2 linked regions of the Astyanax mexicanus genome follow. The protein of the gene in region 2 purifies or fractionates together with the protein of the main gene of each other region. This does not show direct contact. Links are inferred from orthologs where the notes say so. Each region holds a gene or a part of one and is shown on either strand. Other genes may lie near its edges. The genes, in order: larp1 and nfx1.

Region 1 (3,929 bases), on a different chromosome or scaffold from region 2:
ATGCTAGCGAAAGCTCATGGTTCAACACTGTTATAGACAAAAAAAATATTTTTATTAGCCACCAAGCCAAAATCAATGATAGCTTATACTATAGAACCAAGGGTTTTATTATTTGCCAATAACATTGTAATAATATTACAAGCCAGTATACAAAAGTTAATAGTTAATAATGATAGCCAGTACGATTTTTATATGCCACCAAGCTAAAGCCAATGTTAACCTACACTTTAAAGACATAGTTTTTATTATTTGCCAATTACGTTATAATAAAAGGCCAATAAGTTGTTAAGTTACCCATATGGTGCAAAATATATTTAAAATGTACACTAAATATATTTACATTTATAGATTATAAATATACAAAAATGGCTTGTTTATTACACAAGATCAAACTTATGAATATGCTACGTACTCTACATATCTGATTTAATATTTCATTGTGTATAGTGCATGTAACGGTAATGATTTTTTCATAGGGTGATATATTGTGACGATTATTGTTTGAAAAGATGTCTAAGATTCTGCATTTTAGGTCACTGCCAAAAGGATAATATAATAGCTTGATGATGCTACTTGGCTTGACAGGATAGCCTAGTCATATACATATATTGCTCCAGACAAATTATTGTAACTAATAATGTTCCTGTTACTTTAAAGCACTGTATTTTATTCCACTGATGGAATGGTGATATAATGGAATAACCATGCAACTCAATTCTCATTTTGTTATTACAGTATTAACTTAAAATGTAAGGGCAATATCAAGACCAGCTATAGTTGTATGTGTGTGCGCGTGTAAAAGAGAGAGAGAGAGAGAGAGAGAGAGAGAGAGAGAGAGAGAGAGAGAGAGAGAGAGGCCTACAGACTATTTTTCAAGTAACGTTAAGTAACAAACTATCTAAAATATATGTTCTGTTTATAACATATTTTATAATGCAATACATTTGCAAATAATGATCACCATTTATGAAGATGCATGTCTATGTATTTCTGTTAGCTAGGAAGCTAGTTAGGTTAGCTAATGCCAATAGTTCATAGCTGCTTCTAGCAGGCTAGCTAAAGCAAGCTAGTGGGGTTAGCCTAAAAGCTAAAGCCAATACTTTCAGCCCGTTTTCGTTACTGCTGGCATGCTAAACTCCACCTATCCCACTCCTATCGCTCAGGTAATCAGCTTTAATGCCATCAAAAATCCCCTGTCACCCCCTGTAATCAGACCGATGAATACCTTTACAATCTGCCCTGAAATCAGCAGAACTGGGGTATTTAAAGCTAGCTCAAGCGACTCGATCATTGGCAGGGCTCGGCTAGCTAGCTTTTATGCTAACAACCACATGTCATTTAGCCAGCTACCAGTCTAAACAGATTAACGCCTGCATTTGCTGTTTTTAAAGACGGGTATAAATGGATTAGGCGAAATTCATTTTAAAAAGGCGAAACACATAGGGTGTTGTTGCATTTTTTACGTTTCATCGTCATTTTATAAACTCTGAAATGGCCAAACGCTGGAATCTCAGAAGCACATGAAACACATGGGTTAGAGGTGGAGAATCCGTGTCCGGGGAAGTAAAATCCACTCCAAGATTTCGTACCAACTGCTGGGCTAGCTCTCGCTGCGACAAGCGCCAGGCAGGCAGTTGGTACAAAATACTGGAGTGGATTTTCACTTTCTGGATCTGTACGAGCCAAAAATGCTTTAAGTCAGGGTTTGGCTGGGTTTAAGCCAGGTTTTAGTCAGATTCTGCAACACCCAGTAGGTTTAACGTGGTTTCGAGGGGTTTTAGGGAACACATAGCAAAAATTAAAGGTTAATAAACACGAATGGAGTCAGCTACAGGATAGAATTAGCTAGATTAGGTAGTTTGCTAGTTAGCTACCAACCGTTGTGTTGTGTTTGTCCGTTCACGCTGACCACGGTCACGGCGTTCATCTTCTTAGTCCAGGGGTTCACCTTGGGTGGAGGTGCTTCAGTAAACTCCTTTTTATTAAAGTTACTCCTCTTGCCGCTTTCTTCTCCACCCTGCTCTCCCTCCTCGCCCTTCTCAGACCCAGACACCACCACCACCCTGTCCTGCTGGCCCATGGTCATGTTCTTCTCCTTCTCCTGCAGGTTGCTCTCCTCCTTCGCCTGCTTGAGGCTCTGCTCTAGGCCGGCTCTCCCGCACGCTCCCTCGGCCTGCTGGAGCTCCGTCTGCGGGCCTTCACGCTCCTCGTCCCCCTTCTTCAGCAGAGGGTTGCTCGGCAGGAGGGTCTCCACCTGAGCGGCCATGACTCCGTCTTCTCCTTCCTTCTTCTCCCCTGCTTTCCTCTCCCCCTCTCAGCCCAAAAACGTGTTCCCGAGCTCTCCGACCCCCTCCGGAAAAAAACAGAAGCTCGACTCGGCTCGGCTCGGTCCTCCACTCCACCCCTAGACCAAAAGGATTCAGTCTAAGACGCAGAGTGGCGAGTTCGGATCAACACATGTAAAACCGGATCGAACACCAATCATGAAGCTCTCAAAAAAAAAAACAGCTAGATTCGTGCTGATGATCTCCGCCAGGCTGGGTGAAACTCCACCACGCCACTCACGGGAGCGCGCACGCTGCCTGTGTTCGAGTCGCTAACGAATCGGTTCGTTTGAACTGCGCCCCTTTCTGTGGAAGGCTTGAGCCGACTCGCGAGTCGGAGTCGAATGTTGTGAATTGTAAGCGGCCGTGTCTGAGCGATGATGAAGCAGATTTGATTACATGTAATTATAATTTAAAAAATGATTCAGCATTGTAGAAAGAAAAGCGTGAATCGATTCACGAGTCTGAATCAAGTTTTGTGAGGCATCTGTGTGATGATAAAACGTATTTGATTAGATCTAATTATAATATATTAAACAGTTGTATGTAATGCTTTAAATTGGAAGTTTGCGCTTGTGAAGCATGATTACATCTAATTATATTATAAAAAAAATATTTGAGTGTTTTTTAGGATTTGTGTGATGGTAAGGCATATTTTATTACATCTGATTATAATATTAAAAATGACCTGATTGCAAAATTTAAACAAATGTAAACTGTTAAATTGTAAAAAAAAAAAATGTTTTGAAGCATTTATGTGAGGATAAAGTATATTTTATTGCATCTTATTATACGTTAAAAAGATTCAACATTGTGCAAAGAAAAGCCTGAGTCGATTCATGAGTCAGAGCCTAGTGTTTTGAAGTAGATGTTTGTGTGATGATAAAGCATATTTGATTACATCTGATTATAATATAAAATTATTAACATAAAAAGTTTATAAAGCGTAAGTTGATTCACATTTGATTACATCTAATAATTATATAAAATATCCTCACTGTAAAATTGTCAAATGTTAAAAACTGTAAAATAATGTGTTAAAGCAAATACATGTTTTGAAGCATTTGTGTAAAGATAAATCTTGTGTAAAGATAAATATGAGGAAGCATATTTGATTACATCTAATTATATTTTAAAAAGATTCAACTTTGTAAAAAGAAATGTGAGTCAATTCACAAGCATAAAGCATTTGATTTCTTTCAATTATAATATAAAAAAAATAATATTGTAAATAAATGCTTCTGAAGCGAGTGATTTTAACTGGAATTGTCTGTGTGATGATAAAGAATATTTGTTTACAACAAATATGAAAATTGTAAAAAAGAAAATCAAACCTTGATTCGATTCATGAGTCTGAATCCAGTTTTTTGAAGCATCTGTGTGAAGATAAAGTGTATTTAACTTTAAAATACTATACATTGTGAAAAATAAACAAGTTGAAGAGTGTAATGAGTGTAAAGCATGTTTGATAACAACTAAATATAATATAAAAAAGATTAAAGAAAATAAAATCAAAGAAATTAATTGATTCTGTGTCTAAATCAAGTGGTTTAAATTAATAGTGTCTGTGAAATAGTGAAGCATATTTGATTACAACCTTTATAA
Region 2 (3,929 bases):
AAACTGCAGTGAGGTGCGAAAACTTCTGCATATCCAGCTCTAAAAACACTGACTATAGTCCCCTGCTGTTGTTAGCTTGTGAGCTAACTAGCTTCGTGACTGATGCGGCTGTTTGCTGCTGAGCTTGTGAGCTAACCCAGCTCTGTGACTGCTCCTGAGGTTAGCTGCTGTAGAGAGCAGTATTATCTTGTTATTGTGGTTAAATCCTTTTTCTTTTCACTGTAAGGCGCATTAGTCCTACATATAAACTGCAGAAACTGTAAAAAGCCTCCAGACTGACTGAGCTTTGCCTGTAGCCCGTGGCTGGGCTGTAGCTCTGTTACTAGTGTGAAGAGAGAGCGGGGCTTGTTCTGCTGCTGCAGCTCTGGCTAGTGGTTGGATGAAGAACTGCAGCTTCCTGTGAGCGAACAGTTTCTCCGGCCATCCATACACAGCTCTGCTTTACTGTTTAACCCATAGACTGTATATAGCTGGACAGAGGGTCGTCTCTCAAAAGTGAAGCCACCACAGGTCGGGCGCCCCCTGCTGTTCGGCTGCAGAAAGCCGTGTAACTCCACCCATTCCCATAGGTTTCAATGGCAAAACAGACAACTTTCAATCACGTTTTTTTCTAATATACTGTAATTCTACCTCCTTTATTTAAATGCAACAGCTAGTGTAACCTCTGCTTATATTGTCAAATTTTTATATCCCCACAGAATTCGGTGTTTAAAACGTTATTCAGCTCTATTAAAAAAAGGTGTGGTTATTGTAAAAGGGCTGCTTATGGGCGGGACCAATAACAGACCGTCAGCCCTCAGGGGCGGGTTAATCAAATGAGTAGGCTGCTCTCCACAGTCTTTCTCCCTCCTCTGGACTCTACTGCGCAGAATCAGGTGGCAGGATCGCCAACATGGCGGAAGATTTTGGCTTCATTTTAATTGAATGAATGGGAACGGAGATACGGCGTCCATCTTTTTTTACAGTCTCTGGTTTAACCCTAAACTTCTGAATCGGATCGGCTAAAATCAGAGGAATATCAGCCGATAGCCGACACCGTATTTTGGCTGAAAATCGGCCGATACCGATACACTGCCGATCGATCGTTCCATCTCTAGTTTGTATGGCAGTTTTGAAATGAAATTTATAGTCGACAAATTTAAATAATTGACATTGTTGATTATATCGACTAATCGTTGCAGCCCTAATTAAAACCTCAATAAAAGACTTGGAGTCAATTCCCTGACTTCTATTCAATTTACTAATCCAGTACTCAGAGATGAATCTAAGTTAGATTAGCTACATAAAAAGCCACCTTAGGTAATTAGCTAGCTTCTATATAGTTAGCTAGTTTAGACAAATTTTGGCTCAACCAAGTGTCACATTAGTGTCAGTGAATGAAAGCAGATTCATCTGATACTTCCTCTGTAATTGTATGGTCAAAATAACATTTACATAACATATGTGGTTCTGGCAACGTGTGTAGAACTGATATTATTACAAGTAAAGAGCCTATAACCCCAAGCTAAGCTAGCTTTATCTCTTAATTAAGAGTTTTTACTAGCTAGTAAGAACTGAGTCAGGACCTGAAGTGCTGGTGTGCCATAACTGCTTCCCATAGTTAACTATCTAACCGAGCTGGTTATAGCTTGTTAATGTTAGTTAGCGTTAGTTAACTAAACAAGCACAACATGAAAAGATACATTAGGTAACTAGCTAGGTAAGTTATCTAGCTAATAGCTATACAGTTTAGATAGGTTAACTAGGATAACGTTAGTTTAGTAGACTGATTTAGGCTTAACCAAGTGTAACATTAGAGTCAGTAAATGACAGCATATTCACCTGACATTCCCCTGTAACTTCTATTTAATCTACTTACCCAGTACTCAAGAGACAAATCTTGCTTTGCTAATTTAACTAACGCATTAACTTACGTTACCTTAAATATTAACTTAACCAAGCTTAGCTAACCTAACTAGCTAGCTAGTTACTCGGGACCAGCAAACAAGTTTGTTGGCTAAGCCAGTGTTCTGTCGAGTTGTGCTACCTTGTCAAACAGTACTACCCTAGTAGAATTTAATTTTTAAAAAGGTAAAAATACCAAAAAAGCACCATATTAGAAAACCTATAAGAAAATACTCCCAGCAGAAGCCAAGGTATGATATGTGGACAGACTAAATCATTGAATTAGGGAAAGTTCAAAAGTTAAAGCCATATACGTGAGCATAAACCGTATTAGTTTTATTGATTTTTTTTACTTTCCATTGCTATTTTAACTGCTATTTGCAGTTTTTTTTACATTCAATCAGGTTGTTTAATGATACTTATAAAAACTTAAGGAATTATCATGAAAACATTCCAAAAAAAATAGTTTGGCGCATGCGCACTGGTGTTGTGAAGCACATATCGATAGATAGCATAACTCGACAGAACACCTGTCTGGCTAAAGCTAGCGTTAGCTAACGGTTTAGCACAACAGACAGACTTACACTCAGCTATCTAACGTTATATGTTTATCATACACAACCTTCCTCCTGCCTTCCACTGTATGTCTCTATACGTTTATAAAAAACACATTAATTCATAATTTTAACACGGTTCTAACCCCTCAGCCAGTGACTGTTAGCCCCTGTATTCTACATTAGCCAGCTAAGCTATGTTAGCTATAAGGCTCCTGCGTTACTGCTGCCGGTCACGCTGAGAGCGCTAGGCTAGTCCCGGACAGACAGTCAGTCCTGTGGAGAAAGTTCCAGGTTTATTCACGGTCAGATATTTACCTGTAACCGAGGCTTCAGCCATCCGGCTCCACCCGGAGGAGAGTCTCCCCCGCTGTGTTTCAGAGATCACCGCTCTGTGTGGAGCTGGAGAATGGGGAATAACTGGAGGTAGATATTGATAAGCTAAGTGTGGAGCAGGTTAAACACAGACCTGCTAACAGCGCTGATCCGCTACACAGAGAGAGAGGGAAGTGAGAGAACCAGGGGGCGCTGACTCACACAGTCTGCTGAAGAGCCGGACTGGATCAGCTAACTACACAGCTCAGGTATTTAATAAGATTCATCTTATTTCTGCGTTCTGTATCTGTAACACTCACTCATTATCATCAGGCTGCAAACTAGATCCTTTTTTACTGTATTATAAGATCTCAGTGTAGTTCTGATGCTTTTTAAACTAGAATATTGGGATGCACTGAGTTACTGAGTTTAACTGATAGTTTTAATGGAGAAAATAAACACTTTTTTTTTTCTATTTTCCACACTCAGCAGCTTGAAAAGAGGAAACATGCCATCAGCTGTTTGTGTTTGTGTATGCCTGACCACGAGTGTGTGAGACAGTAAGCACAAAATGTAGCATAAATAAAAGATAATCTAACAGAATGTCAATTTATATATATTATATATATATCAACACTCCAACATTTTTCACATGTTGATAAAATATAATGTGCTTTTAATTAAATAATAATGTACTTTTTGTATATTCACAGTCTGAACTGTGGTTGAGCTTGTTGCTGACTGTTCACACAGACTGGTAAGAACTGATACCATTGTTAGCTAACCAGTCTAACCAAACGTTCTCCCTAAACAAAGAGACTCCACTTTCTTTCTCTTTTTATGCTTCCTTTTCTTTTTTGTATGTGTATTCGTGATGGGGCCCCAGGTGGCACAAGGTTTAAAAATTATGATAACCAGTATATTACCATAGTTTAATGTGTAGTTCCTGCAAACTTGACCAGGCCTTCTTATCCTACATTACAAAAAAAATATGCTTCTTGATGAATGGTAAAAAAAAAAAATCCCATATACACATACCTAAACCATGTAAATAGCCCTTCTAGAAGAGTTGATGCTGTTATAGCTGCAAAATGTGGGACTGCTGCACTCAAATGTTGCAATGAATTAAAATTCCCATCTCTACTGCTCTAGTGGTGGTGCTAAATTTGCAAGCTT

What was found.
Region 1: the proteins of nfx1 (region 2) and larp1 purify together in Homo sapiens (affinity purification with mass spectrometry, with the first as the bait; 3 studies listed by BioGRID). This does not show direct contact. The link is inferred for Astyanax mexicanus from reciprocal best matches to the Homo sapiens genes NFX1 and LARP1.

The regions. Positions count from the first base shown.
Region 1 is NC_064424.1:34,122,348-34,126,276, reverse strand, and holds the start of larp1 (la-related protein 1), read right to left. Parts: upstream 2,580-3,929; 5' UTR 2,267-2,579; coding exon 1,879-2,266; intron 1-1,878. UniProt on the Homo sapiens protein: RNA-binding protein that regulates the translation of specific target mRNA species downstream of the mTORC1 complex, in function of growth signals and nutrient availability.
Region 2 is NC_064415.1:33,627,652-33,631,580, reverse strand, and holds the start of nfx1 (transcriptional repressor NF-X1), read right to left. Parts: upstream 2,981-3,929; 5' UTR 2,779-2,980; coding exon 2,757-2,778; intron 1-2,756. UniProt on the Homo sapiens protein: Binds to the X-box motif of MHC class II genes and represses their expression. May play an important role in regulating the duration of an inflammatory response by limiting the period in which MHC class II molecules are induced by interferon-gamma.